Linked DNA regions of Styela clava. The protein of the gene in region 1 binds, or shares a complex with, the protein of each later gene. Links are inferred from orthologs where the notes say so. Each region holds a gene or a part of one and is shown in the gene's direction. Other genes may lie near its edges. The genes, in order: 26S proteasome complex subunit SEM1-like and integrator complex subunit 7-like.

Region 1 (15,957 bases):
CAGTAGCATCCCTGATCAATTTTGGATATGGTGCCATCCGAGAAAATACCTCGTTGCCATGGAAACGAGGCATCGTCCGTATTTCTTTAAGTGAAATGAACGATACTTTATAAAGGGATATTTTTAAGACAAGTGAACCGATGTGTATATAAGAAGTGAAGAATATGATCAGAAGTGCATTTTGACAATTTCCCTTGATAACAGAATACCTGGTTACCATGGAAACGGGGTATCATTATCGACCAAACGCGATTATTTGTCGCACAGCCTGTATTTTCTGTTATTGTCATGAATCACAAATTGATTAAGCTACATTCACTTTCAAAATGTAATTCCTTTTGTGCTCAATCAACTGACATCGCCCATGGTATACTTTTAAACTCATAGCCACGTAAAGCTGGTGAAAATATAAAATATATATCTCATAGCTGACGGATTATTGTTATCTCGGAGCTATCATATCGTCATCATATATATTAATAAAGATAAATTCATTCTCTTCAACTCTGGCATGGAGTATCAGCCAGATAAAAACGGAAAACTTGCATTGTATATGCAGTTGAGGACGCATGGACAACAAATCGAGATTTTCATAAAGCATGCTTCCGACTTCTAGGTACAGTAGTATCATTTTGAGATTTGAAATTCGAGCAACGAATTGAATGACGATTTTTGACGTCTGTGTAGCTCTAGCCTATCACAAAAACCAGGCTCGATGGATCTCTGAAAGGCTCTTGGATCCCTTCTGAAAAGGACGTTGTTGCCCTGGGGGAGGAAAAACAGAAACAAGCCGGCTATCAAGAGTGCAATTCGTTAAAGTCTTGGTAGCTTCTGGTACTTTGGTAGTCGCCCGTAACTTCGACTTGGAGAAAAACTTCTTTATTTCTGAGTGAGTGCGTGTGGCTATGCTTTCGGTAAATTCTTTATGAAGGATAAAAAAAAATTAGCCATAGGTTTGCACTTAGAGCGGATTGTTTGTTACAGAGTAATGATGGTTTATTTCAGAATATGCATGAAAGCGAAAAATACAATCTTCAATCACTGATAATTTCAAAGAAATTGGTCCTGTAGTTGATGAGAAAAGCGATTTTTTTCATAGCAACTAGAAGATTTTTTTTAACAAATACTCTGGGGATTGATGCAGTTGAGGCGCTACCGTTGTATTCGTCGTGTTACGACAGAATAAATCTTTTCCTCCTCAACTACCAACAACAAGCTGAAATATATATTATTACCTGAAATAGAATGCCCGGACTAATAGGTCTCCGAATTTATCACTGTTTTATTTGTATTTTCACACCCCTTTTTGGCTACTTTCTCTGAATTTCTATCTTGTATGTTTCTTTTCGGTATTGTTATCATTTTATACTATGGGAGAGTTTAAAATAACCTTTCATTGGACAGGAAGTGGATATGGATCGCTTTGTTATTATGTTGTTGTTCGCTTCTTCTCGTTGTTATGAAAACATCGCCTTTCTGTTCAGTTATTGCAACGACGGTTATTGGATAAATTGCTTTGAAATTGAAGACTATTACTTTTATTCATTTCTAGGCTTTCCATACGTCCCGCTATAGGCGGGACAGTCCCGATTTTTAGCGTCTTGTCCCGCCGTCCCGATAAGTCAGCCAAAAGTCCCGCTTTGGCGTTCAGCCATCCAGCATAATAAACGGACATATTATTCTCGTTATTGTTTTTGCTGTGTAGCGCAACGCTAGCTTACTTACTGACTGTGAATGCGTTATTTTGTTTGTTTCGTTGTTTCCCACTAACAGTGTTAGCGAACGTATCACATGTAAAATCAATTCTAATTGGTTCCGTTCGGACGTTCACGTTCTTTTTGAAGGCGTTATCTACAGAAAAGCATGCTTGAGCAATAAGCAAATCTCAATGCTTGAAAACGGCAGACTATTTCATTATTCTTTATTCCTTTTGCTGTACATAAAAAATGTAAATTCGGATCATTTGTATCGTTAGCGTCTATTCCTTTCTATTTTTCGAACTGAACCCAACTCGATATTTAGACAGAGAATATAATATGCGCATTAAATGTCGATGACAATATGATCAATGAAGACAGCCGGGATGGCTTTAAATGTAGGCCTATGTTGTAAAATCGGAAACTGTAAAGTTTCAGAATCACAGCTAAGGGCTCGTGTTATTGGAGGCGTCCCGCTTTGAAGTCAAAAAAATATGGTAACCCTATTTATTTCTAAAGTCTTGACATTTGAAATGAGAGTTCCTCTATCGAATACAAAATTGAAGAAAAATACGTTATGTTTCACATTTGCATCTCATGTAAAAGCGTGCAATTGAACACGTCTAGGGTTGACCGTATCTCTCATATTCATAAACTTGACAACTGTTGGGTTGAATATTTATCAGCTCATCACAACAATCGTGATTAAAAATCTGTGACGCAAACCGCCCACACAACTGAGCTATCGTAACGAGGAATGTGGACGGGGTTGCAAAGTCAAGAACGTGAACAACGCATGATTCTCATCGTGGCACATTCAATACATATAGTTCTAACATAGAAAATACAGGAATTTATTTCTGAATACCGTTAAATTGTAGTACAGAAATAATGATCATAAAACAAAAATATAATCGGAAGGTGCGGACGAGACTGCAAGGCCGGACTGCTCACAAAGAAAATTATGATTGTTTTCTGTTTAGGTTACAAGTCAATGTGAAGTCCAGTAAATGATAAAGAACAAGTGAAACAAGGAAACACGGCCTATGTTCATCGACTGTTTAGAAATGTTCATGCGTGTGGGTTCTGACTTGAATAACTTAATTTTCAGAATATATAGAGGCTGAACGCAATAAATAAAACCTAATTTTTAATTATTGTTAATAAAAAGCCCTAAAATAATGACTTACGGCCAGCTGGGGTTAACTTTCTCCTTCCGACATTCGAACGGATTAGTAGGGGCTTAGTAAAAAAATATGATTGCGTGAGGGGGAGAAATCCAAATGAAAGCCATTGATCGTCGGATGGCGAGGAGTTCGAGATTGCCGGATGAGCGGGAAATGGGAGAAAGGTTGCGCCAGAAGCGCTAGCTAAATTCAACAACGATAGAAGAGTGTTAGAAACGTAAACCATTGAAATGTCAGCATTCCACACGCGCTCGATTGACCTTCACTCAAACCTTTGGTATTTCGTTTGAAAATTAGTGCAATCGAATTTATGTGTAAATGGCCGTCTGGGGGATAACAACAATGAAGGTACCCAAAAGATGAAAAATGTTCGAAACGGCGAGCCATTGCTGGCGATTTTGTAAATGATTTACCGCTATTACAAATGTTACAGGTCTCGTGATTGTCACTTGGTCACGCGAAAACAAGCACGGGATGACGCATTATTCCTACGAACATGTTGTATACGAAGAATGTGTTCGGGTCACCAACGCTCTTATTTCAACAACAGATATTTTGTTAACATGGCTAAGCAAACAATATTCACGTGCTAGCATATCCGCACTTGATTTTTGTGACTATGCGAATCTGATTGATCTCTTTCCACTAGATTCTTTAATATTATCTCAATGTTCTTTACACTGATCAAATTTTTGTGCATACCATACGAGTATTGGGTAATATGTACCTCAATTTTGTTACATTATATTATAATATTCTAGAATCAGGGGTTCTCAAACTTTTGGCGTTGCGGAGCCCTTGAAAAGGTTGACTATTATTCACGGAGCCCCAAAATAAATGTTAAAATTGTTACTTTCTGATTAATATTCCTGAGTAAGTTAAACGTACTTTACCCAATTTAAATACTAAACACTTTTAATAGGGTTAATACAAGTCATAAATAAATCTAAATTTCAAAGATAAATTGTATAATATACTAAAGCTATAAATTTGACACATGACAAACATATTAATAAATTAGGGGTCGAATCTTTTCCCCTCTTGACATTTTTGGAAGACTTAAAAGGCTGCTAATAACGTGCGCGATTGCATTTTGTTACAATCGCCGATTGTTTTCGTCAGCATGGCGTGTTTTTGAACCTCAAACATCTTTACGCCGGTGTTTATTCTCCCTAAATAAAAAATTTCCTTCGGCATATGCATGTTTGTTCCACAATGACGACGATAATTGCTTTTTCTTTCTCGTGGGGAATTATGAGTTCAATGTGAAAAACATGTTACCATATTATAATCATCGGCGACGAAATGCTATAAATAATAGTTAATAAAGAGGTAAATCTGCAATTCAAATTTCTTGATTAAAAAGCGGCCTTCTAAAATATTAGAACTAAAACTTAAAATGGAAGATAACACTATAAGTTTTGTTTCAGCAGACTCACGTCAGAATAAAAACGCTGTTACAGACATCGAAAATCATAAAATTTGGTGTTATGTTAGGTTTTCGGTTATTCATCGTAGTAACTGCGAAATTGAAACACAGTCATTTAATTATGCGTGCGATGTACCATTTTTCCTTTCTGAAACTACCGACAGAGCCGCATGCACTAAAATAAATTTCTATCGTTCGTATTTTGCCAAGACCTTGTGATTTTTCAAACGGCGACATCTTGCTTAAAAATAATCTCGAGTGCGAAAGAACAAATAAAGTTTAACAAATCCCAAGATCGCAAAAATACGACTCCATTTTATTTATAGTTAGCAGTTTATCACGCAGTTTATGTTATTTTAGACTAGTATTTTATCATTTTAGTAATCCTAATAGTAATTTCGAATCGAATGTGAGTAACGATGAGCACAATTAAATCATTACAAGACCCTTTAGATGCTCGCATCGGTCATGAATTGAATATTTTACGCAACAGAGATCTCGTTATCCGTTTTTTTTGAATCGTCAAGAATGTTGCGCGTAAATTTCCGATTTCAATTTTGAACCTCCTCCCTCTTAAGAATCCTGGCTGCACTCCTGCTTATAAATAATGTCATTTTTTAATTCCGCCCCTTTGCCATATTTCGAGGCCATATTTGTCAAATTTCATCAAAGCTAGTATTGCTTCTAGGAACAGTTTTAAATTAGCCAAGTCAGTATTTTGAAAAGTAATCGAATAGCTCGCGGAGCCCCTGGGTTACTCTCGCGGAGCCCTGGGGCTCCGTACGGAGCACTTTGAAAACCTATGTTCTAGATATTTCAAAACACTTTCATAGTGAGAAGATTCGTAACCTCAAATATGAAGTCGCATCTCAGATTAGGGAGATTCCAAAATAGTTATTGAAAAAGATGACGGAAACGGCCCAACTATAATCGTCCAATGCACTTCTTAGTCTTTCGCAGTTTTGATACGTTCATGATATATATTAGATTTTTGAACCTGTTCAACTATTTTTGTACTCGTGTTTTGGTGATAACAGACTCTGAAGATCTTAAGGTCCTATTGTTAAATTTTATTGATACATATTCGCATTGTTTTCTGGTTTGACGAGCGTGTGAACTCTCTCCATCCAAGAAACTACCAAGAAGTGAGGAAAATTAACGTACTGGACGCAATTTTTGACTGCAATTGAAAGACACTTGGAGATGTCTGATATCGAATGTGACTCAATAGAATAAGCGCATTATTGCGTTTATACTTCGTTAGCGTCAGACGAATGCATTCCATCCCATGAATGACAAGAAACGGCCACTAGATAATATGGTAGTGTGGCCATATAGCGAATTGCTTACGTGACAACCCAAGCACCATTCTGGTCCTAAAACTAAAGATGCCAGTCTCGTTTGATGATTTTATACGGTGAGGTTGATAACATACATTCAAGCATCTGATATTTTTCAAAGTATGGTTGTTATTCAACAATGACATTTCCGTAACATAAAAAATAAATAAACTCTCTCATGTACGTTCAAGGCAAGCTAATAAAAATATCCACACGAATGTTTGACAAATTTAGAACTAACAATAATCAAGTTGACGTAAATGTAATGACAATGTGCATAAATCTTTTTCTGGAGATAAGCTGAAGTAGTATATACCTCTCTCTGGACAATGAATAGCTGGACAACTTATTTACAAATCGACTTCCCCCAACATAGTGTATCATTACTTATATCACAGTGTTAACTGATTATCTGTCCTTCACGTCCAAAAAATGCACATCTTATCAAGCAAAAATACAAAAAAAAAGATAATGAGATGGTACATCAGAATGTTACTTATGATCAAATATCACAGCACCGATTATGCAGAAATGCCAATTAGTAGTATTTACCAATCAAGATATTTGAGTACAAATTGATCTTGGAAAATACCAGGTAATCGCAATTAATGTACTAATATTAAGTAATAAGTACTGATTGCTGTAACAAAGATATGGGCCAATCGAGAATAATAAATACAATAAAAATGCTTTTACAATGACTATCAGAATAAAAATGCTTTTACAATGACTATCAGAAGATATTAAAATTCGCTACAGCAAAATGGCATTCAAACTACAGTCATTTATTAAATTGGAATAGTCTGTAAAGTACTATTGGGTGAATTATTTGACACATCCCAAAAATGACTATAAAAATAGATTAAATAGACCTATAAGACCGATGTTCCATGAATTACAATTTATAAAGACACATTCTAAATAAATTATTTCCTGTTATTAATATATAAAATTTGAACCATAGGCCGAATACTGCATAATTTTTTTGACTTGGATATTTGAATTTGATATATTTTACTGCAGTGTTATGATACCACATACCCAGCAGCGATGCATTGATGAGGCAGCTAAATGTAGTATATAATATGTCTAATGTTTTACTACTGACAATTTGATTTGACTACACAAAATTATGCTTCCAAGCAAAGCAGTGATCCCTAACGCCTTGGCAGTAAGAATGAGACATAAATTACACGCTAATGAAAACAAAATGAAAAAATATTAGGCATATCTGGTAACTTTTTGAGGAAAAAAAAAGAGAGATCGATACACCTGTGAATACAGAATTAACCATTGCATGCAGATTTCTACATGATATTCAATACATGTGTAACATATTGTTCATGATATCAGAATAGAGATCCAAACACTTGATCAATATAAAGGCTCCATGAAGTAATGCAGATAACTTCCTGCTTTTGTTTGCCGCCATATTGAACATTGCTTCAAAATTAATATTACATTAACTATTCATACTAATGTTTTATTTTTTACTCTTGTAATAGAAAATACAGGGCCAAGGTTTATCAAATAAATGGCTACTTAAATATCTATTAAAGTTACACTATCAGAAGTGGTTTTGAGCTATTTGGTGAAATTAAGTTGAAATGGTTTGAATCTTGAAAATGATCAATAATATGAAATACTTAACCACCATGCCTACAAATATATTATTGCACCAGTCTTGTCAGATATTCAGAATCCTATTACACCGTTAATAAATCCTAATAATCTAATGTAGGTGTAAATGTTTGAAGCATACAAAGTATATCATTTTACTAACTTCCTATCACAAAATTGATAAAAAAAATAATATAAGAAGAATGACATCAATGCGAGACATCAGAATACATATATCAAGACGAGTTACAATGAAAAGTGAAATTCATGGGAAAATAATGATGTACCAATATTATTATGAATTGGACAATTAAGGTTTCTTATTCTTAGCTTTAGGAGGTGGGGGAGTAGGACTGCAATCTATGTACTTATATGAGGATATTGTATCCTGTTCAGTATGGGAAAGATACTTTGACGTTTGTGTTGCTTGAAATTTAATCACAATATCATGCACTCGTCGCTTATCATTAGTACACAAACTACTCATAAAGTCTAACTGATTAGTTTTATCAAATGTCATTTGAACAGTTATATTGACAGGAAAGTTGTTTGTTAATGGGGGTACAACCACAGGGCCGTGCTTCAACTTCCCAGTGCCAACTTGCACTTGATCAAAAAATGCTTCAACTGAAATTTTTGTAATTTGTACGTGAAAATAGTTGGTGTTTGTAATGTTATACTGGTTGGTAGCTATAATAACCGTGGATGACAAATTGGTGTTTATATTCACCGAGTAGTTCGCAATTTTTCCTTCTGTTATTTTGACAGATCTTGGTAGAATGAAGAACAGTATAAGTCCACATATTATCAAGCACACAATGATGGCCAACATAACATACATTGTTGTTCTGCGAGGTTTTAGTCTTTTGTCATGATATGGAATTAGGGCCACAAGTTCATCTTCTTGACGTCTAGAAATTCGCCCCGTGCCTTGACAAGTGGGGCAAGTTTTGCCATCACTTCCATCGAACTCTATATATCCAAAATCTCTTTCGCCAGGTGTAGCATTTACATTTCCATCTGTAGTATATTCACTATTATTTTTAGTGTTTGAGCTGATGATGCTACCCATATTCACTTTATTTCATCCCATTAGAGTTAGAGACCAATTTATTCGGCTATTACAACATCAATCTTTGAAAAGAAGTATAGAATGGATTTGGATTGAAGGCTTAAAAAATTATTAAACAATACTTCAATTATAAAAGCTGGTCCGTCTTGCATGCTACATTGACAGACTGACAGCAGTCCGACTGCAGTACGAAACAGAACATTCACAAGATGTAAAGACAAAAAAAAATTAACGAAAAAAAGTATTGCAGATAATGGTTTATTGAAAGGATCAACATACAAACATTCATTAAAGGGAGACATGTCTGCATACTCACACACAATTCATTTTTTAAAGATATGCATCCTTTTGTTTATTTTTTTCTTTAGTCTTAATACACAGAGATGCTGAAATTAGAAATGTAGGCTGTAGAGTAATCTGGTGTTGAGGGTTTTATTTTGTAATGATCAACAGATCATATTGTAAAATTATTTCGAGGAATTGGAAAAATGTTAATAGTTGTCAAGATTTACATTTGATCCCGAAGATCTTCGGTTTATCGCAATATCACTGAGGGATGGGGCAAAATAAATATAACTTTTATTTACAACATATATCTGTATATTGCTGTATAAGTGAACATTGTAAGTTTCAAGAAGATTATAAATTGAATATACATTTCCATTCTTCCAAGACATTTAAATTAAGGCACTAAACAAAGTCATCATTACTGAGGGTTTTAAAAGTATAACAGTCCGAAAGTTCAAACATTCGTGTATCTTTTGTTTGTTTATTTCTGTCCCAAGCCTCGTTTAACCAGGTTTGTGTTTTTTGTAATTTTTTTGTGTGTGCCGTGGGCTGGCACATGATATTTCTCATGTTTTAAACTTTTTTAAAGGTTTTGCTCCCTCTCCAGAATTCTTTATTTTTTATTTACGGTAGGTGTATTATGGAGTTTTCAAAATAAGCTATCTACGGCAGTGGTTCCAAAACTTTTTAGAGTTGGGACCCACTATTTTTTACCACAGCTTATGGCGACCCATTTAACTTTAATAAATTAATAAAACATTGATGGAGTAAACAAATTTATTTTCTCAAATTGAATTTTCAGTGAAGCTAGTGAGAAAGATGAGCTTGTTTTTTGCTATTTTCCATAATAGACTTGATATTTATTTCGATTTCAGATAGTTTTAGACGTGAAAATTAAAAAGTTGCAGTTTATTCCAAAATTTGCTTTGTCACCGATCCTAATAACCAATGTTCCCTCTAATTTTTTGTAGTATGTGTGCGCAGAAATTTTGGTGTGTGCGCACTTTTTTGGAAATGAATAATATTTGTGCAAAAACCAATGAAGAAATTTTGGTGTTCTAACCGGGTAATAAGTGGGCCAACAACAAACTTTCTCAACCTGCCAATCGAGAACATTGTTACATTACATCGAAATACGTCTGTGTGCAGTAAATCTATGCGTGTGCGCAGCCTCTGAAAGCTGTCCTGTGTGCACGCGCACACCTTAGAGGGAACACTGCTAATAACCAACCAGTATGATTAATCAAAGCTTTCTACATCTTTTCACTACCCACTGAGATTTTTCTTGCGACCCACCAGTGGGTCCATAGTTTGGGAACCGCTGATCTACGGTATTTGTTATAGTAAATTTTTTCATTTCTGACGAGGCTGTGAGACGAGGCGACAGTTCAAAACAAGATTAAGCTGTTTTATAGACCTTACTTCAATTTCAACCAGTTATTTTATATGCCAAATTTAATAATAGATGCCAACAAACAAAAGCAAAGCACAAATGCATTAGAGTTCAAATATTAAAAAGGGCTAACTTAGTAATGACATGCCTGGCTGCTCGCAATGACACATGTCGCTAATTGCTCAGACACTCTATTAGTATTACTCATGAGTCTGAAGATTGTACACTTTTAAACTTTATGATAGAAAAAAAAAAATCTGAAGATTAAGCCGTGCAACCTCCCAGTACAGAAGAACGGTACCCATACCTGTACCAATACTACGCCTGAACTCGGAGATGAAGAAAGGGATACGGACACGGTACGCACGCAATGCAGAAGGGTTGGCGAAATATCAATCACCTGATTTTCTTTTGTTTCTGTTGATAAATAAATAAAGAAATATTTACGATATTTTATACATTCGCTATATGGCAGCAGAGTTCAGTGAGTGTCGTGTATTATTATGCTTACTCATGCTATGTCATGTTCACAATGTATGTGCGAATGTCCGGGATGAAAGTTGCTCGAAAATCATAAGGCAGAATGGAGATTTGAATAACATGTATAACATATTAATAATATACTGTTGGTAATTCTTTTTGATATTATTTTATTTGTTATTTTTCATTAAAAAAAATAAATGAAAAATAAAAGCCGCACGGCGCGTGAAAACTGTAAGAATATTGTAAGATAAGATTACCTATAATGCCTCGTAATTTAATAATAATAGTGAGAAATACCGATATTCATTTTTTTGTTATTTTTTTCTTGTGTAACTTTTGTAAATTTGTGATTTTAATACTGTAATAACAACTCAAAAATCTTATAATCATACCTGCATACCGGTAACAAACTGGATAATGGATTGGATAATAAGTGTAGTATAAGTATAAAATTATTTCCACTCTTTAATTAGTATTAGAATCAGGTGAGTACCGGTAAACAAACCTTAAGTCTGTAAGTATCGTTCAAAATATACTGAATACCGTATGAGATGAAAGGTTTTACAGGAATATATATTAGTATAAACCTATGCTTAGTGCAGTAGTGTGCCCCTTTTTCATCTTTTTACCTAACCTTTACTATCGATTTATCAAATCCTATTATAGTAATAAAACTTATTCTTTAAAAAGTATTCAATTCTTCGAGATAAATGGCTGACAAAGACAAGAAAGATGAACAAAAGCCAGTCACTGAACTAGGATCATTAGAAGATGATGACGAATTTGAAGAATTTCCTGCGGAAGAATGGACCGGGAAAGACAAAGAACCAAAAGTATTTTGGGATGAAAACTGGGATGATGATAATATAGAAGATGACTTTTCATCACAATTAAAAGCTATTTTAGAAAAATCCGGCCAGAAAGTCAAGTCATAATTTTATCATCAACGGCAAATATTGAACAATACAATGTATATTGCTTAACATTGGTACTTGATGATGAAATGGAATTTTCTTTATTGGTATTGATTTGGACAATTTGTTCGTTTTATAATTCAGTAATTAAACCACCTTCTGAACTTACACATGCAATACAAAGTCCACATGTGTATATTTTTTGTTGAATTTAAGGATTAACTTCTGTTTTCAATTTTTATTTAAGTTAGGCGTAATCGAGTGTTAGGAGTGTTTTGTCTATAAATATTTATAGGTACACCACAAGATTTTTTGCAGTGGATAAGTTTGTTATAATGAAGTTGTGTCTGAATTTTATTTTCATCATGAGTTATTTGTGGTACCCTGCACTGAAACCATGCCTGAAAAGTAAATATGATATGCTATAACATTTGAAAGGTAAATCTACCTACATCACCAATTTTTATATCTAGACTTTCATTTGGCTTGCAATTTACACATTGTATAATATGAAATTTGAGTTATTCTGGTGGGAATTGTAACTCTGAATGATGACTGACATTTATTTACAAATTGGACGTAGATGCTCTTCATAATGTTACTTTTTTCCACTAGTAATGTGTGATGAATGCTGTTAACATTCGATTCAATGTAGATTGTCTCAATGTTCAATGAACAAGTAACTATTATTTAGTCAATTTTCGTCATATGAAATATTGCATTTCATGGTTTTGTTTGATATCAGATTGATCTAAAATATTCTCATTGCCAGAATAATTGTTGGATATAATCAGCTATGAAATTCTGCAGATGTTCTGGTTGGTTAATTTATGTTTAATAAAAAAGAGTGTCCTCTGTTTTGTTATAAAATGTTGACCCTTTGAGAAATGTGTGAAAGCTAATCGTTGTTTGTTTTTCCCAGTCGAATTGTTTAATAATCAAATACCTAAATTGATAGAAAATGCCTGTACAACATATAGATAACGACGCAGCATTTCAACTCAGTTTTAACGATGCTGGTTCATCCCTCGTTGTCATAGATTTTTTTGCTACATGGTAAGTCTTTCAGATATAGATAGTAGATATTACATTTGAATATGTAATCGTTTATTTTTGAATTATCGAATTTGTCTCTGAAGTCTGAGTTACTGGTATATTATCAAATTGATAAAATTTAGTTGTTAGAACATTTATGTATGTAATATATTTTCCGAGTGGCATACAGATAAAGTGATAAGAACCTCATTAGTGTTGTGTGCAGTGTTATGTTGTAGAACGATTATAATCTTTTTTATTTTTAAAGGTGTGGACCCTGTCACGCTATTGCTCCAGTATTTGAAGAATTATCAAATCAATATGAAGGAGTTGTATTTCTTAAAGTTGATGTTGACAAATGTTTTGTAATATTTTTGTTTACTGTATTTATTATTTTCTGATTCATTTAACATTGGGCATGATATTATGATAGTAAGTTTGTTCAAAATTGTGTTTAATGATGTATAATAAGAGTGGGTAGATGAATAGGCTGATTGATGAATACGTTTATTTAATAAACCAGTCAAACACTGGTATAAGTCAAACGACTATTCAATTTGTCTGTATTATTTCTAATATTATGTTTTTATGAGCAAAAAGTCATTTTAAATGGATAGTTATTGTCATTAGTCTTTTATTTATTACTTAGCCATTTTTGGATGTAACAATTTACCATCCAGTTAATTACTAGCTATGAATATTTTTATCATGTATAGATTAATGATTGTATAAAATGTTTTTTTTTGCAGGAAACCAAAACAATCTATGGTGTTAGAGCTATGCCAACATTTCTATTCATTCGTAACGAAACAACACTTCATAAAATACAAGGAGCTAAGGCTGAGGAATTGCGAAACAAGGTTCATGAATTATCACTCGATTCTTCAGCAAATGGATCAAGTTCAGAATCAAGTGTTGGGATTCCTGGCATGGTAAGAAGCACTATCTGTTGCTTTGTTTTTAATTTGAACCAAAGCCTAAAAAACTTATGTTGTAGGCAAAATTAAAAAAAAATAATTATATATCTGACTTGGACTGATAACAGGATGGGGGAGGCTGTGGTTCTGTCAGCTCATCGACTTAAATAATAATACTAATAACAAATTCAAATTTGTTTAAATACTGTGACAACACCAATTAATATCAAATATAGTTATTTGCAAATTAATCTCTTTATTTCAGGTTGATTTGTTATCACAAGTTAATATATCTCAACTAACTTGTCTCAATGAAAGTGATGACCATACTGTCAAGTATATCTTCGAAGAAAACTCAGATTTGTATTTGGAATCAGACTGTGATCCGGAGGTATCAAATGCTCTTGTTCATACTGTGAGACTCCAATTACTCAAAAAATGAGGAATTTTTAAATGAGGCTGTTCTTAATTATGCCTGAACTCATGAATTTAATGCATGTGTGTACAATCTGCGACCCGCGGGCCAAATGCAGCCCTCAAGGAAAAAAGAGTGCCAATTTTGAATGATGTGCGGCCCGTGAAACAAGTTTTAATTTAATTCAATCTGGTATGTGTGAGCATTTCCAATTTCTTTGTGTTGCAAAGCCTATATCTGAGCTTGTGTGAAGCAAACATCACATTTTATAAGATCAATGACAAAAGTTTTTGTGCCTGCAGGCTGCAACTACCAGAAAGCCTATTTTGAATAAAGATGCGGGCCGCGGTTCCACCCAGTTAGTTGTATCTGGCCCTCCTGTATTAAAGTTTTATATAATTAAGTTTGAATCCAATATTCAATGCACTTTATTTGTTTGGTTTAAATTTTTTAAACACAACCTGTTATTTTTCAACTGTCATTCTATTTCAGCTTCTTATATCAGTCGAATTTAATCAGAATATCAAACTGCACTCGTTAAAACTGGTGGCTCCACATGATTTTGGTCCGAAAACATTGAGGTTATTCATAAATCAACCTCATAATATGGATTTTGATTCTGCGCGAGATGGAAAACCTATCCAGGAATTTAGGTTAGTTCAAAGTATGAGTATAGTAAACTTTATCAATGAGTTTTTGACTAATTTGAAGTAAAATTTTTCCAAGTCTCATGTTTTGTTTTTGTTGCATACATTAGCATCTCTGCTGGTGAAGCATTTCCAATAGACATGTTATGTGGATTTACACAAAAAAACTTGACATTTTTCAAAAACTTTCAATATAAATTTGAAATCATATTATGCTTTATTCTTCTCGATCTGAAAATCCAAATTATGCTTCTCTGTGAGGTAATGCTCTATTTGCCAAGCATAGAAAATGTATAAATCTTGACCTCAATTTGGACTTCTTCCATGAAAGATTTGCTGAGGCCTGCAAGAAATTAATATGTAAATCTAACTTCTATTTTAAACTATATTTCAGTCTCACAAAAGATGACATTTCGGAGAATGGTTTAATCAATCTCAGATTTGTCAAGTTTCAGAATGTACACAATTTAACAGTAAGTGCATTTTTTCTATGTATTTTCGCTTTCCAGAGGGAACTTTTTTGAGGGAAATGGTGATTAATGTATTTATTGGGCCTATGTGGCATCTCCGAATGAGATCTTTTTATTAATACTTATGTAAGGCCATATTTGCAGAGTCAAAAATTGGGTAGCCTATGTTAAGGCGAAAAGAGTTCTGAATTTTTGTGCATTGAGGCTGCACTAGGTTGAACTATAGATAGCCCAGTGGTCGTAATGTTGATCCTAACTATTCTGGTTCTATAGGTGAAAAATCTTGGGTCTAAAGCCCCACCCCAGCTCACCCATAGTGTAATGAATTAGGTAGGCCTTCTGTCTTATAAAATAGTTGTTTTTAGATATTTATTCCCGATAATCAAGGAGATGAAGAAACGACTAAAATAGAGAAACTCACTTTGATAGGAAAAACAGTTGCAACAACAAATATGTCTGAATTCAAGAGGGTAAATTTTTTTTGCTTTATCAAATCTGATCAAAATTTATTTCATTGATTTTTACTTAGGATAGGATAAATAGGACTAGGTATTGAATAATCTATGAAAATTTAAAAAAAATTGATATTATAATAAAATCCGACTTCATATTGTAAAGAGTGACCCCAAATATCATATATGTCAGATTATGGGCCATTGGGTCCTTTTTTTCGGAGACCCTAATTGTGGTTTTCTGACCGCTATATCAATGTACTCTTTAAGGTTGCTGGAAAAGAGGGCGAATCTCATTGATTGTCATCATTGGAAAGTTTCAAAAGAAGAATTTTTGTAATACTGAATTTATACTGTAGAAAATACTATTTGATGTTGGAACACTTTAATCAAATATTGAGATGGCAACTCAGGATTAAAATGATTAATTTGTTTGCATTCCATTAGGATTTTATGACTTTTTTCTCGTATTCATATTTTCTGGGTTTGCTGACATTGAAGCCAACTTATCAAATGATGGTGTTCGACAGAGAAGTGAAGCCAAAATTCAATCATTCACTACAACGAAAATATAAGTTTTTGAATATTCATAATTCAG
Region 2 (17,023 bases), on another chromosome or scaffold:
CTTGACTTTTAAAAACATTTCGTCACTAAAATCGAAACACGGTCAATTGTGAGCGGGATTTGCCTTTTTACCCATTACTTTTAAATTGACGTCGAAAATTTTCGTGTTAACAAACAAAGCTGGGAACGCGACTTTTCCCCGGTTTGTGATGATATATAAGATAATTAAAGTATAATCGATCACTTTTTGTATTTATTTTATGTATTTTTATTGTACTGAAATAACTTCTACTACGTGAGAATTGACAGAAAATTTAGGGATTTTTCGAAGAGTTTTATCTTTAAAAATAATCGGAGTGACAACATTGCGATTGAGTGGAGCCAGTGTGACAAGTACATCTCAAATTTATCGAATTCGCAAAATAGCAAAAATACGGATCAAAACAATATACAAACGGGCAGTTTACCACACATTTTTATGTCCGCGGATTGCCGTTGTGTTTTAGAGTGGCTCTTGTTTTGTCGACTCAGCCGCAGTTTAAATTGAAGACAATTAAATTAATAAATCAAGACATTTTGAATTTGCCCGTATCGGTCTTTGATTGATTACTTTGCACAAGGGAAAAATCATTTTTCGTTGATAAAGTCGGCTCTTTTAACAAGTGGCGTAATCGCGGCGACTGTTCCGCGTGGATTTCGAGGCGGTGAATTTGTATTTTTGATTTACTAGTATACTTTATAATTATTTTCATTGTATTAATTAAAATGGTACTATATGGGATTTTATATCAGATATCGATATTTTTGTAACGGCGATAACGAGTTCGGAAGATTGCAAAAATAGGTATAAAAATTAAATACATCAGGCAGCTTATCTCATATTTTTATGTCCACATATCGCCGTAGTACTTTAGTTAATTTTTATATTTTTTTGACGTAAGAAGTCGCAACCGCGAGTTACGTTGCACACTATTAAATTAATATATAAGAACATTTTAGAATCTCGTGGCTGTCATGGATCAAAAGAAAAATCATTATACTCTTAAATAGGCGGCTCTTTTAACGAGCGCGTAATCGCGGTGCTTGTTGCAGACGGCAATGGGAAGTTCCGACTTTTACCCCCCCCCCGCCTTTTTTTTAAATCCTGGCTGCGCGCCTGAACTTGTGCCTGTTTATTTTCGTATTAAATTATAAATAAAAACCCTACAAAGTCATTGCGTGAATACTGAATGGTATTTCGAGTTTAAATGATGATTTAATAAATCGGCAATAATGGCAATTCTACTACTCAAATGATAATTCCTTGGTAAAATTTAGGAAAAAAATTCGCACAATAGCTTGTTACCTTGTTTTGCATTTCTAATTTTACGAAACGGCGTTAGTGCGCTTTATGCAGAACTAGGAATTGAAACAATAACCTAATACGACTCCTCAAATTTGGTATTTTCTGTTTGTTAGCAAGAGCAGTGGGCTAATTCTCGCGGAATTCAAGAAATTGGTTCAGTAACGCGCAAGTTCCGTGTCCGAGCAAAGCAGCCTAGGTACTCGATATATGAGTAGCGAAATGGCATGCTAGTACTTAGAGAATGACATCGACAGGTTATTGTGACGTGACGATACACGGCGCGGTGTTTTTCCGGTAGGCGATCCAAGTTCGCCCCCCCAAAATTATGGAAAGTGTCCGCCCCTGACTACGAGTACTTGTATGTTAAAAATCTTGAGTACAGGCACACCACATACACATTGAGAGTGAAATAAATTGGCTATGGTTAGGAAAACTACATATTCCTATCCTCCAAAGTCTTACACTAAAGCCATACAGTGAAACAAGAGAAGATTCTTATAAATAAGCCTTTTTCCCACTAGGCTGGAAAGCTGAAGCTCGCTCTAAGAGGTGAAGCTAGAGCCGGGGCTACCAGAAATGTCAGTGGCATCACCTCCTAACCATCTATTCAGTTTATTGTGAAATATTTTTTTCAATATATATATATATTATTCTCTAATATTTAGGTAAAAGGTTTATAGTTTTGACTAATACTGCTGCGAAACTGGTGGCAAAGAATAGTTTGAATCTAGAACAGAAATTCTGATTTCTAACCACCGCCCAAGTTATGCATTTAACAATACATTCCCAATTAAATTTAATATACCATTATATAAAATTATAAATCTTGATACCAGTGCTATTACAACCATATCAGTGAACATCAAGAGTACCCGAACTCTTCAAATGAGACATTTCCAAATATAAGCAAACTTTAATCCAAACTTTATCATTATAAAATAAGTAAATATTACCAGACATTGCCCATCTTGACTTTGCTTCCAATTTACATGCAGCTTCAGATGATTGGCTTTTAAAATTTTTAATCTGATGTGCTTCGTCAAGTATTATACGATTCCATTTGATTTGCATGAGTGTATTTTCTGTCAATATAAATAGTTGGGAAAGTTTATCAATAATCTTATATTCAGTGTTCAACCGCTAAAGCACGACATTAGGCCTAATGAAGAATTTAATCTTGTAAGTTATATGGAAAATTTTTAAGTTTAGAGTATATAAGTTTCTAACCTTTCTTTTCTTCAGCTTTTGCTGATAAACATCGTCGCACTGTAACAGAAGAAGTATTGACTTTAGTTCAAAATTAGAAAAATACATACCGAGCGGTATATATTATGAAAATATATAAAAAATATTAACTTGGCAAATATATCGCCAATAATCTTATCCACTGATTATATTTGCTTGCAAATTTGCTCCAGTGGCAATACGTTTTTAAGGCAATACGTGGTGAATTACTACAGATCAAACCAATGTTAATAAGGGCCGTGCTTTTAAATAATTTTCTAGTTGTAATTCAATGACAGCTGTTAGCATGAGGCATTTTTGGACAATTGTAATTACATTTCCCTACCAGTATATCCTCAAGTAGAAATTACATAGACATCTTCCTACCTATATCATAAGTTGTAATAATTACATCAAATTCAGCAAGTCTTGAAGGTTCTTTCTCCCTGGAACTTCCATGAAATAGATGAATACTGAGAAGACCTTTATCACACCTACATGATACAAATACTAGTTACTGTATATAGAGTAATTGAAATAATTTCCAATAATATTCTAATCGATACTTCCTATCATACCATTCGGATAATATTAAAAAAATATAATAAGCAATGAAAGATTTATCATTCATACACCAAATGCCGGTACTTGAAAGTTACAAGACCTGTTACGAATTTCTTTTTCCCAATGAAAGAGTAGAGATGCTGGAGCTATAATTAAAGTTGAATCACTCTCAATCAATGGAGTTTTTTCTGAAAAAGAAACAACCGAGATGAACAGCAAAAGGACAAAAAAGAAGAGTTATGATTCACACAGTTCAATTATGAGTTTCAGAATAAATTTTCTAAAAATTTCATTCCAGTATTAGCAAAATTATGTTAGGAATTTCAACGCAGATACGCAATATGAGTATATTTTTATGAGAAGTACTGCTACTGTAGAACAGTCCTTTAGAAGTTTTATTAGAGACATAGAATGATTTCATAAATAATTTTTTGTTACTATCACTGTACAGCAGATAGATGTTAATTATACCGAATGAGTTTGAAACTAAATAACTTATTTGCGGTATATCTATATTATTTCAGAGCTTCAAATAAAAAAGTTATCCTGGGTGTGTGCTCTTTTTTTTAAAATGTGGAATGTATACTAAAGCTTACAATTGTAAATCAACCATGCTTCAAAAAACAAATCCAATTACCTGTTTCACCAATGTCACTTTCTTCTTTACTGCCACCTTTAACTTCCCGTTTGATTTTTGATTCAGTTTTCTCATTTTCAATTAAAATAACAGAATCGTCTGATTCACTTGAGCTATTAAAGTCTTTGATGTCATCCTCTTCTTTAATCTGGATTTTAGTGTCTTTGTTTTCATCAGACAATTCTCTTTGTTTCAATATAAGACAGATCATCGTAAGAGTTTTGCCAAGACCCATATCATCAGCCAGAATTCCACCAGACATAGATTGTTGTTCTCTCCACACTAACCAAGCAAGTGCTTGTCGTTGATGGGTCATTAATGTTACCTGTAGAGAAACAGGGTTTATTTCAGTATATGTGCAATATACGTTTTGGTTCACCGTTCATGGTTATAATTTATGGTACTCCTGAAGTATGCGCACCAAGATGTCGCACAACCTGAACCCTAACCTGGTACACAACCTGAGTTCAGGTTGTGGGCCATCTTGGTGCGTATACTTCAGGAGGTCCTGATTTATTTTAACCGTTGACTGACATCTTGGGTACAAATCCTCTTTATAATGTACTATTTTTTAAAAATGATTACGTCATCGCAAATTTATCTTCTGCGGCATTTTAATTCAAAAAAATATTGCTGATTATGAAAATTTGACAATGATAAATTCAGAATCAGTTTTCGGTCGAAGTAGCCTATATTATAGTTCACAATTTTATTGCAAAATCATATAGGCCTACTTAATGTCATCCAACAAGTGTGCAGGTAATGCTGTTTTTCTTATGGTATCTCAAAATAGAATTTGCACATCAAACACTGAAAATTTGTCACATAAATAACATTTAATAATGGAATCGGGTTTTACTAAAATACTTCCATATGTGCAAAGCATGCTGCATATCATTTTGCAGAAGAGCAATCATGAAACTATCTCGCTTCATGAATAATTTTGATTGATACTGGGATAAGACCACCTGAAATTACTTTGCAGCCATTGTGACGTAACAAGTTAATATTATAAATTATTATGTCAAACGTCATGCTGAGGTGTTTCCCTGAAATTCCCAGCCCTAGCGTTTACACAAAACTGCATTTTCTTACTCAATCTTAGAAGATGACCAAGTATCAAGAAATGTTTTTATATGGACCACACTTGCATACATCTTTTGATGGAATTCATTTATCTAACCTTCAGGCCTTCAGGATCATCCAGTTCTCCTGTGGGTTCAGGTCTCGTTTCCAGAGACTTGTGAAGGTCCTCAATTGCAGCCTTTGTTATCTGGGAATAATAATAATAATCATGAAACTCATTTCAATATTTGGTTATATCTCGGATACTAAATAGTAAATACTACCCAAAATTAGGGTATGAATAATTTTAAACATTTAGGCAATAAAAATGCTGACCAGCTGACTGAATGAAAAACGATAATAAAAAGCTAAGCTTTTAAATTTTAGATTACAATATGAAATATTCTCAAGAAGATTAGAAGTACAACTATGGTATAATATATTACCTGACGGACTTCAGTCAGACGAGCACTTGTCATTCTTCCTCCATATAACGGACCATCGTTAAATTGCATTGGACCCATATCATATGCACTAAGATCTAATTTTCCTGTTCTCGCCCCAAATGGTTCCGCTTTTGGGAACGTAAGTTTTGTTTGAGTAAGTTTCCTATCAGGAGCAGAGTTAAAAGCCATAGGAGGTGCTATCATTACAGCACCTTGAGCATCAGGCTTTCTTGAATATGACTCTAACCATGGTCGTGTATGCTTAGGCATTGCATCAGCGTTTGAAAGAGGTAGTTGATTCTCTTTGTCAATGAGTTTTGAAGGAGTTGAATCATGACTTTTATCTTTATTTTTGCTTTTCATGGATAATTTTTGCAGTTCAAGTTCCAAATTGTTTATTTCATCTTTCAGTCTTCTACCACCATCTGGAAGTTTATCTAGTTTTAAACTGCGAAAAAGTGTTTTTTTCTTACCAATGTTCTCTTTCAGTCTCACAACTTCAGGATCCTCTAGTCTTGGGGCCATTCCAGCAGAATTAGGCCCAGTGGCAGAGACTACAATTGGCCCTTTCCTCATTGCAGGAACAACGCATGGGGGACCAACACGAATTTTTCCTGAGCTTAAATCTATAGGCTTCGGTTTTGGTCTCCGTTCGTGCTTTTCTCTGTACAAATTTTTTTCAACTATTTCACCATGTTTCGAAGAAACCTCTTTTTTACCGTGAACTTTGACATCATGAGGATGTGGGATCGAAACGAATGCTCCGGAGTTACCATTACTATACGTGCCATGTTGGTGTTTATCATGCTTGTGAGGTTGTTTCCTGCTATCCTGGTTCTGCATTTGATGATTTCGTTCAAGTCTTGTAACTGCTTCTGCTCTAAAATCCAGTTTACTATCACGACCAATGTGTTCTTTAACATCGAAGCAAAATTTATCACCCCTCGATATTCCTGATGTAATACCACAATTTCGCATTGTCGTCATATGAAAAAATACATTATCGTGATTAGGGACCGAAAAAAATCCATATCCTTTATCTTCTTTATAAACTGTGACAGTTCCACAATATCTTGTTCCTACAGTCAAAGCCTTACGATTGTGGGAATGATCGTTTGAATTACTGGAACTTACCTCGGCCATTAGGAATATAATACAATACTGAAACTGAGATCAAAGCATTGTCAGATGTAAAACCAAATTAATATTTTTAATATTATTCGAAGTTAAATAAATAGATTAATAATCAGGCTCAACCCTAAATAATCAAACAAAGCAAAAACAAATTCAAACCATCGAAAATAAATAATAAAACTTAGGTAAAACAATAAAATGCATAATTCTGTCCTAACACTTGCATAGAAATTACAAATTAGTTAATATTACTTGTTGAAATCTGCAAATAGAAATGCCTATTAAAAATGGCTTTGATGTAATATAACACTTGAATAGACATGTTTCATTTGATTAAATATATAAGCAGTATATCAGTACAGCAGTATATTATTGTATTTCACAATTCATAACAATAATGTAAAATTTGGAATTTTTTGAAATAAAAAAAAAATTTGAATGTCAAAACAAAATGATTCTATATTTATTATTTTATATTAAGAATTAGTTATTATTACTTTATCGAAGACTCATAAACTAATACATAAGATTCCTAGTCTGAATAAAAAAAAACTGTAATCATGGTATTTGAGCAACTTGAGCTTCTAGCATCAGCAGAGAATTTTGAATTTTTTTGATGCTTTGACCAACTTTATACACAGGAACCATTGCTTTATCAAGTTCCTCACAATGAGCAATCAGCATGTACATCGATTTCATTGAGTCATCAATCTCAACTCCCATAGCTTCAATTGCACTGCTATATGTTTGTGAATTAGCCACAGTAATTGCTGATGTCTCGTGTAGTTTATTAGTCAGTTTCTTAACTATATTGCCAAGGCTGTTAGAGAGTTTTTCTGTTTGCCGTTCAAGATCATCCAGTACAGTGCTATCAATCGCAGGAAAGTCATCATTCAAACCAGACATATTGCAACATTGGTTTGTTACAGTAGCCTACTGAAGTACCAAACAAATATGTATATACTGAAATAATCTGCAACTATTGAACAGACACAGCTGGCATTACTCTATTACAGTTTTACATCACATATTCAGATATTATTGTGAACTGGAACAGATATGAATTATTCATTGCACAAAAGTTTGTTCTAAGACTTTTCAATTTCTTACAATATTTTTACATCACCAATCATAGGCAGAGAGCTGCCCTGTACAATGTGCTTCAGTGACAAATTTATGCATTGCAGCAAACTATGCAATCATACTTTTGCTATCCATATTCAAATACAGAAATAGGCTATATCCTCGTGATAATTTTAACTTAGCACATATCCCAGTATCCTGATATCGCGTTTCAAATGCAGAGAGTGTACCAAAAAAATCCGGAAGTTTATGGACGACGATGTCACAGAATAATAATAATATGTCGACGATAATGAACCCCAAATCACTGAATTATGCTCAACATAACCATGCCAAGGATTCCTCCCCAAGTGTATTACGGTACGTATTACAGTATTATGGAATACGCAAACCGAATTCCCCCGCGAAGAGAACGATCACCCTTTTTTTCTCTTTCAATTATAACACGTGATTTCACGATACCTGCACGCATGACTTCACTCAAGACGATTGCTCGTGGCGAGAGGATCTACTTAGCACATCGCATTTCGCTAGCCATTCTGTAAACAGGCTTCCTCTTTTCCTTTGAATATTTTGGCGTCTGCCTATCATTACAAATCATAAGTCAATCATGATGGACGAACAAAATCAAGATGCCAACTCGGCGCTCATGGAACTTGATAAAGGTAAGCCTGCTTGTAATAATCTACTCTTAGGTCAGTAGTACAATGAATACAACATATGAACAAATAAATAACATAAAATAATTTATTTGAACTCGCCATCGTACAAAAAATGGCATAATAAGGTTTTAACATGGCATAAAAGTAAAATTCTATTGTTAATATATTTGCCTACTGTTTGTATGCTTACGTTTTGGATTGTTTTGATTTATGTTTATGTAACAAAATAGAATAATGGATACATAACATGGGCAATCTCACTTGTGACTGTATGACCATTTACACAATATTGAAAATAGTATATATATCAGTATATCAGTACCGGGTATATCAGTATATGGAGTTATTTTACTTGTTTCTGTGCAAAAATAGTCTGTTCCTACTGTCCTATATTAGCAATTCACTGGCAGACTGGTAAGTGTAAAGAGTTAGATATAGGATAGGATTTACTTATTTATCCTGGGGGAGAGCAAAGTCAATAAAACGGCTTAATCCATTGATGAACCACAGCCTCCCGTTCGGTTACCAGTCCATGTCGAATATGGGATTAGTCAGTCAGGTATTCGTTTTTCGATGCATGAACTTGATGGTGGAGGAAGCTGTACCGACCACCATTCCATCCCCCGCAAGATTCGAACCTGAGAATCCACGCAGAGCAATCAGAGCATATCAGTAATGCTTAGCACGAAGCGCCACACCGCCGAGCCATGAATTTTTGCTATCTTTTAATTTATGTAACATAACATATGGTGTGGCAAGTAATTTTTATTTATTTATTTTTTATTAACTACCAGTATGTAATTTTTCATGTTCCCTTTACTTAATAACTTCTATATGGTTGTGTGTGTGGGTGCGTGTGAGCGTGTGTGAAATATTTCAATTATTTTAGGTGAGTGAACACGTACCACATCTTCTTGGCAAAACCTTCCATCTTATATACATTCTGTACGTTTTAAACCTTATCTAAGGTTTTGTTCGCTCTCCTGATTTCATAATCAGTTTTTATTTATTTATTTTTAGCATTCATTTTATTGTTTTGCTGATTATGGAGTCGAAATAAACTTATACTTATACTTATATAACAGTACCACAGTATCCTGATATTCAAATATTATTTTATTCAATATTCTTTCAAAGGTCTTCGTGCTCAAAAAGTTGGCCAGCAATGTGAAGCAATTGTTCGATTTCCTGGATTATTTGAGAGATTTCCATTCCCAATTCTTATCAACTCTGCATTCTTGAAGCTGGCAGATGTGTTTCGTGTTGGGTAAACATCAGATTCCTTATCAGAAATGAATATTTCTTAAAAATAAATTTGGTTAAGGCTATAGACTAATTGTGTTAGTAAAAACGGTAGCGTAAAGCAGCCTTTTTTATTAATGATGATCAAGCATTTGAAGTAATGAAAATAGGTATGCACTGATACAGTCATGAAGAATTATGAAATGTGTAGCAATTTTATTTGACATGTGTAAATCAACATATGTATTTATATATATAGGCCTACTATAACTGAATCTCTTCATATATTTCCCTCAAGCATCGTATTTTGATACTTGATGTTAGATGAAGCGCAGTCAATCTATTGTCGTATTCAGGTTTTCAGTTTGAATCTTGATTAATAAAACATTAGGGTTTTTATCATTTCTCTAAAAGCATATTTGTCACGAAGTAGGTACAGTTTTTGTTAGTTCGAACAAATCGCAGCGATCATTTTTATGTATATACTTATGGATAGAAATTCTCGGTTTTTAAACATCGACAAACTGACAAATTATTTTTTCAGGAATAATTTTCTTCGTCTTTGTATACTTCGAGTGTCTCAGCAAAGCAATAAACATCTTGATAAAATTCTCAACATAACAGAATTTAGAAGAAGAATTTCTGTAGTTATTCATAGCAATGATCCATATGCAAGAGCAATAACTTTAAGGTTGGTTTTCTAAAAATGAGTTCCTCAACCTTGTTCTACCAGACCGACTATCGCATACAATCTCAATATTTTTTTTTTGTTCATTTTTGTTGCAATTAGGATCTTAATCTATTCATTGTGAACCATTAGTAGGCCTATTTCGAAAGCTGGATCAATACAATTATATTCCTTACCAAATGTATTTCATCATGCTAACTACTTATATTTCACTACTCATTTTTTATTTTATTTAATATGATGCTCACACACTTTGTTCGCTCTTAGCAAGGCTCTTTACGAGCTGCCACTGATCTCTAACAATATTTGGGAGGACCGGGATCTTTCTGACTTGTAATTGCCTGATCAATTACCAGTGGCGTAGCCAGAGGGGTGGTTTTGCGGGTCGAAACCCCCCTTTTGAAATGTAAAAAAAATAAAATCTTTTTTCTGTATCATAGATAGCAATTTTTCGTAGCTTTAAATGCTTTTTAGACCCTCAAGACTAATAAAAACACGCGTATTCTAGAGTCGATTAGTCCCGCTAGCTGTTTCGATCTAACTTGCCAAATAAAAATTTCAGAACCCCCCCCATGAAAATTTCTGGCTACACCCCTGTTAATCACCCTGGTGGACCCCTGTCAATCACCCTGGTGTAGATGTGTGTGTGCGTGGGGGGTGAGATGAGATTTGAATTAGCCAATTTCAATTACCGGTAGCTGTTAATGACTTGGTAATTTTTCAGGATGCTGGGCAGTATTGCTTGTATAATAAGTGATGAAAAAAGTGTTCACCACAGTATAAGACAAGGTTTGGATTCGCATGATCGTGTTGAGCAGGAAGCTGCAATATATGCAACTATTCAATTTGCTTCACATTCGGGGGAATTTGCTACAAGTATTTGCAATAAGATTGCAACAATGTTACAGGGTATGTGCTGTCAACTATCATACATGGATATCTATATAGTGTTTAGAACATTCCAAATTGATGTATTTTTTATCCATCAGTTTTATGACTCAAACTAAATATTCCTATTAAAAAATGGATGTTCATTTTATCATTGTTTCTGTATTTAAAGTTTAGATTTTCTAAGTTCAGCATTGATTATCTGATTTCCACATCAGGAAAGATGCTGGGTATGAGATCACATTATCTAATAAAAGATTGCTTGTGAACAGCCTTGTATGGAGTGAAGGCATGAAACAGTTCATGTTAAAGTCGACCAATCAAATCTCTCATATTATATTGTAGCTAATTATTTAGCCCCTATGTATTACCATGTTTGGTTTTGAAACTCCTTAAAAATTTACTACTTCACAGGGCTGTCAACACCGCTTGAAATTAAACTGAAGTTAATTCCGGTTCTTCAGCATATGCATTATGATGTCCAGGTATATTTCTCATAAATATTTTCAATAATACACAGTTCATGCTGGAAAGTGGCCGAAATGTAACAGGTGTTATAATCACCACAATCAAAGACAATTTTTTCCTAATATTTAGTTTTGTGTAATGTTGTATTACCTTTGTTTAATGTTATTCTCGTAAGGTTTCATCAAAATCAAGAGCTGTCTTGAAAGATTTGTTGCCTGCCTATCCTGCACAAGATTTTGTTGTGACAACTTTAAACACATTGACAAGCTTATCAATGCATTCTTTAGTTGATGTTCCATCACAGGTAAGAATACCAAGTAAGCAACTTCTGGTTGTATACCTGACTAGCTTGCTTTTTTAAATTGATATCTAGATAGACTGTCTGGAAGACTAGTGTTTTAGATCAATTGGAATTATTTGCATGATTAGATGATTCGAAACTTTTTTCTTTGGTTGACTAGTGACCAGCGGCTACACGAAGAAGCTAGTATAGACTACACCAACTAACTAACAATTTTTATTGCTGTCAAATTAAATTCATATAATTTATGCATTGATATATATTTTCAGGTTTCCCTTCTTCTGCAATATTTGAGATGTGATCCAAGAGAAGCAGTTAAAACTGTCACTCTACAAAATTTGAATATGCTTGCTAAGTCTGGCCCACATCTTTGGTCAATAGAAGACACTAATGAACTTTGCAAGGTAGCTTTCGTTCTCAGAGACACACATACTTGCTTAGATGTAGAGAAGACTTATCTCTAAGTAAAGTGAATGGTGAACACTGGAATTCCAAGAAAATACTGAAACTGTATAGAATTATGGTGATGCATAACATGCCAATAAATGCTGTTTAGCGCTTGAAGCAGTTTCATTATTAAAATTATTCTATCTTGTCATGATTCTTAGTGCTCATTTATTATTGTTTTAATTTAACTTTGTAGATAATGTTTTTGATATAGATATTCAAATAATATTTATGCGCATTTAGCACAGAATAGACATTTTTATACAATTCCATTGATGCTTTTATTGTGTGGGTATAAGCATTTTGATTTCTTTTTTCAGGCTTATTCATTGTCAGCAATGCAATCGTCATTAAAAGGAGCTATACTTCAAGTACTTTGTACATTGGCTAGTGGCAATACAGTGTTACACTTGAATCTTAGCGATGGTAAATATTGTTTTATATATCCTGTTGATAATGATATCTGAAGTGCCCTCTAACTAATTGATTTTATTGTCATCATTAGAATTATTCAACTAAAGTTGAATTCAAAATTTACAAATAATTATTTAATTTACTTGGTCTTTGGCGTAAGCAAGTCTCTATGTAAGCAACCACTCACTAAACTACTAGGTTTAGGGCAAACATTACAAGACTATAATAAATCTGTTTGAGTGACTAATTGGGCATGTCGTTTTAGGCACAGCTATTATGGCAAAGGCCTTTTTGGCGGTAAATAATTATCTTGTCGAAAATTTGTGTTTTCATTTTTATGTGCCTGTTTTTGTTTTTCAATAAAAGTTTTAAAATTTGAAAACCCTATGCTAGGGATGGATCATTATAGTCCTAATGTTTTAGTTTTTAACATCTTTTTTTAAACAGGTAGCGATCTTATCAATCTATGTAGAAAATGTTGTTACGACAGAGATGTACGACAAGCAGCATTAGCAAGTAGATTACTAGCTATGCTTGCAACTCATGCTACACAATCTGACCAAGGATCAACTGCTTTACAAAGTGAATTATTACAAGAGTCAGCTGATGCTGTAGAATCATTGTTGTTCATTCTTGCTCCATCTAGTGATTATTCTTCTAAAGATAAATCAACATTAGAAGTAAGGCTTTCAAATGAGTTCGTTTGAATGGAATTTAGAATCCAAAATGGGTTACTGAAATTTTTAATGTACTTATTTCCAAGGGAAGATAATATATAGTTAATAATAATAATAAGAGTTATCCTTTTGACCTGGGTTATTGAAATTCACTGCCTGAATATGATTTTGACTTAATCACGTTCACACACCTGAAACATATAGCTGGTTAATTAATCCCACACCTAACATGGTCTGGTAATCGGACGAGAGGCTGTGGTTTGCCATACAATTAAGCTATCTTAACGGATAAATATGAAAATTCTAACTCATACTACTCTCCAAGGGTAAACTTTTCTAATATAAATTATTGGATTCAATCATTTCGAATACCAGTTTCATGAAGATAGTTGGAATTTGGTACAAAGTAAGTTTCATGCATATAAAAATGTGGATTCATTTTGACTACAGTTTGAAAGGAGTGATTGGGTGTTTTTTAGTAAGTTGAATCAATTGTTGGAATTTTATCTCTCAATACAACATGTTTGGCATTTTAAATGGTCTTTTACTTTGTTCCTGTTGTCATTTCAATAATATTGACTTTGGCCATTTATTCTGATGTTCTTGTTTATTTTAGATAGTTCTTCCAGCAATTAGTGAACTTTGTCAAGTTTGTGATGCTGAAGTTGTTATAAGGTGATATATATTATTATTTTTTGTTTTCTTTTATTTTCATTAAAAATCAGCAGTTGGTACATCATGTTAAGTGTTAGAAATACACTTGCCATCGCACCTCTGCTCGGGTTTGCAGGTTCGAATCATCGTAGCGTGTATAGGAAGTATAAAATGATTGGAAACGCATAGGAAAATAAAAGGATTGACAATAACTACATAATTTGGGGACTGGGAGTCATGTATCAGATGGTCGGTTACAGCTTCCTCCACCATCAAGTTCATGCATCTGAAAACTAATAACTGGCCAACGATTCCCATAACCGAATGGAGTGATATGATGAAGTCGACCTATCGGCTTGTCTCTTCTCTAGTTTAAATATGAGAATCCTACTCTAAAATATTACAAAACATATTAATTATTCAACGGATCCAATTTGAACTATAATGAGTGTTTTTATATTTGAATCATTTTTATTTCAAACAAAGCTGTTATATAGAAATATATTAACAAGATCATGGGAATTCATGTTCACTTGAGAAAGAATTTGTGATTGGGGGTTTTTCCAAAATATATCTTTTGCCAATTTATTTCCAGGTTGATAGAAGTTGTTGTGAGCTTACTAACATTGGATTGCCAACCTGATGGAGATGTTGCTTCAATGTTATGTGAAATACTGGCTTCAATTGCTTCTAAGAGGTATGAAAACGCGAATAAAAATAAGTGATAGAAAATAGCTGTTTTGCGTTGTCAATTGTGCAGTACAGATGAATCATTCCATTTCGAAAGTCGCAACAATGCAGAATACCATGATCAGTAGATAAGTTTTTTCTTCTTTGGAGCTAAGCTGGCCAAACTGATGTTTTACTATTTAAAGGGTGTCTGATATATATTTATGTGTAATATATTGCATCCAAAATACTGTTTCTACATGAACCTAGTTTGGAATATTGAAACATCTCATAAAAAGGATTGGTACATGACCTGTGGCGTGCATCCCGTTATTGTTAATTTTAGTTTAGTCATCTTTGATGTTGGGATTTTCAATCATTTGTTCAGTAAATTCCATTGTATGTCCATAATCTTTTGATTATTGAAATCGATACTATATATTTTTCTTCAGCAAAAAGCCAGATCTTTTGAAGAAATTTTCATCAAATCTGATAGAACTTTTGTCAAATGTTGTTGAAACTGTGGATGATAGTTCAGAACGAAGTTCTTCTAACTTACAGAAAGTTATTGTAAGATTCCTATTTTTTATGTTTGCCATTTTTAAAATATTCACACTTAGGCATAGAAATGTTCATCATAGATCATAGATGTTTATCATAGATTTTTGTCAGATCGAGTATGACAGCATTTCTGTGACCTCGGGTTGGGAAACACTTCACTAGTGGTTTTGTGTGCGTAGGAAGGATGCTATACCAAGAATAAAGATTAGTAGCCTATTCTGCCTGTCCAATCTGAGTCAGGCAACACCGCCACCAAATGTATTTGCGAGGTTTGACAATATATTTTTAGTTTTTATGTTAATTCATGTCTTTTTAGACTCACATATGTACATTGTTGTTTCTATCAAATCAATCGTTCAACGAAGCTGACCTTGGTGAAAGAATTCTTGACATTATAACTGATACTGAGTCTGCAGCAAATAAATGGACTTGGTACAGAGTCGCAAGACAAGCATCTAGACTGGTATAATTTCTGATTTTTAGTTTTTCTCTGTGTAGTTAGTTTGGTTAACACTCACTAACATGGATTATCTCAATGCTTTCGATCTGAAATAGAAGTATGATATTGTTGCATTGCTTTTGGTGTCATTCAGGTCATATCAAAGAAGTTTTGAGAAAGTTCAATGTGATCTATGGTAAATGTTCCTAGCTTGGATTGGTTCTATGTCATATTATAACAAAAATGCCATGAAATCAAATTACAAGCTATGGTGTAAAATAGACGTGAACAGTCACCGTGCATTGTTTTTTTAATCTTGTCGAATAAGAGTCGTAGAGCTCATCAGAAATAAAGAATATTTTTGGAAATTGGAGTACACTACTTTAAATCACATTTCCAAAATAAAGAATTCAAGTAAAGATGTGTCATCTTTTTACGTTTTGTAAGCAAATGTTGTTTTTATTTAGGGTGAACATAATCTTGCCAGCAAACTGTTCCTCAAACTTTCTTCAGCTGTTGCATCAGAACAATATTACTTTTGGTTGAGTGCTCTACACCAGTTTGAACTCGCTGAATCTGGTTTACTCTCAGTTTCCTCAAAAACAAAGAAGGATGCAACTTCTTTATTTACTCCAACTGTTTTATTCGAAGCTTCTCAGCATTATCAGCAAGGCTTGACTGCACTGAGTGTAAGTGACCTTTTATTTATTTCAGTTTTGCAATAACGTATGTAGAGTATATAGACCACAAAAATGTTCTATTTTTGGTATTTTCTATCAGGATAAAACAAAGGTCTTTGTGAAATTTTGAAAATATAAAATGTAATGGAATTATTGTATACATATTCACATCTTGCCTAATTCTCCATGTCAATTTTGTGGCTTGGAATAATATACAGTGATGTAATAAAAGCATGCTTTCCTATCACCTTTTAACGTTTTAATTTTTGTGGCACCCTGATATGCTATTTGGGTCATCACTAAACCCCTGTTAACAATTATTCGAAAACACTTATTATTCGACTTTCCAATTACTTGAAATGAATCAGAAGTAGGACCTGGGCTTTAAACCCGTTTTTTTACTATTCCATGGCCTTATCAATTATCATTGTCTCTTTTAAGGCTGCAGTGAGTCCAGATCATCCTTTGCATTTTCAATCCAGATTTGTAAAGTTACGATGTGATACATTACTTGCCTATTCACAACTTTTGATGACTTGCCAGCAAATTCATTTGTCACCACCACCTGCCATTGCAGATTCCAGCTCTGATCAGTCAGGAATGTCATCAAATATAAAAGATGAAATTGTCGCTTCAAGATGTGGAGTCTTAAGCAGTCAGGTCAGAATATATAAAAAATATGGATAATAAAACAAATTTATTTTTGTATAATTTTTGCGATAAGTTGAACAAAAAAGTTATTACAAACACATAGAGAACATGCTTTGGCATCATCAATGATAGGTTGCCCATAAAC

The links.
Region 2: the proteins of 26S proteasome complex subunit SEM1-like (region 1) and integrator complex subunit 7-like are in contact, whole or in part, in a cryo-EM structure (PDB 8YJB), measured with the Homo sapiens proteins. The link is inferred for Styela clava from reciprocal best matches to the Homo sapiens genes SEM1 and INTS7. Residues at the interface, in NP_006295.1 of Homo sapiens: Ala36, His37, Val38, Trp39, Glu40, Asp41, Asn42, Trp43, Asp44, Val48, Glu49, Asp50, Phe52, Ser53, Gln55, Leu56, Arg57, Glu59, Leu60, Glu61, His63, Gly64, Tyr65, Lys66, Met67; in NP_056249.1 of Homo sapiens: Lys410, Leu413, Asn414, Val417, Leu448, His451, Cys452, Ala454, Ala455, Met458, Glu488, Val491, Thr495, Leu517, Glu518, Ser521, Asn522, Gly523, Trp524, Val526, Tyr527, Arg528, Arg531, Gln532, Arg535, Ser548, Leu549, Thr551, Gln552, Val553.

What each region holds. Positions count from the first base shown.
Region 1 is NC_135260.1:14,913,716-14,929,672, reverse strand, and holds 26S proteasome complex subunit SEM1-like, read left to right. Parts: upstream 1-11,095; 5' UTR 11,096-11,219; coding exon 11,220-11,444; 3' UTR 11,445-12,345; downstream 12,346-15,957. Other genes in the region: transmembrane protein 106B-like, read right to left, coding at 7,584-8,345; thioredoxin-like protein 1, read left to right, coding at 12,385-12,479, 12,727-12,823, 13,208-13,390, 13,641-13,766, 14,283-14,443, 14,832-14,910, 15,273-15,377, 15,630-15,659. UniProt on the Homo sapiens protein: Component of the 26S proteasome, a multiprotein complex involved in the ATP-dependent degradation of ubiquitinated proteins.
Region 2 is NC_135253.1:7,953,969-7,970,991, forward strand, and holds the start of integrator complex subunit 7-like, read left to right. Parts: upstream 1-7,901; 5' UTR 7,902-8,047; coding exon 8,048-8,102; intron 8,103-9,236; coding exon 9,237-9,366; intron 9,367-9,885; coding exon 9,886-10,032; intron 10,033-10,753; coding exon 10,754-10,938; intron 10,939-11,331; coding exon 11,332-11,402; intron 11,403-11,560; coding exon 11,561-11,689; intron 11,690-11,955; coding exon 11,956-12,090; intron 12,091-12,453; coding exon 12,454-12,559; intron 12,560-12,994; coding exon 12,995-13,227; intron 13,228-13,840; coding exon 13,841-13,899; intron 13,900-14,473; coding exon 14,474-14,575; intron 14,576-14,999; coding exon 15,000-15,117; intron 15,118-15,424; coding exon 15,425-15,571; intron 15,572-16,014; coding exon 16,015-16,236; intron 16,237-16,668; coding exon 16,669-16,887; intron 16,888-17,023. Other genes in the region: transcription termination factor 2-like, read right to left, coding at 2,238-2,366, 2,512-2,550, 2,896-3,002, 3,173-3,260, 3,710-4,034, 4,893-4,982, 5,221-6,363; BLOC-1-related complex subunit 6-like, read right to left, coding at 6,913-7,260. UniProt on the Homo sapiens protein: Component of the integrator complex, a multiprotein complex that terminates RNA polymerase II (Pol II) transcription in the promoter-proximal region of genes.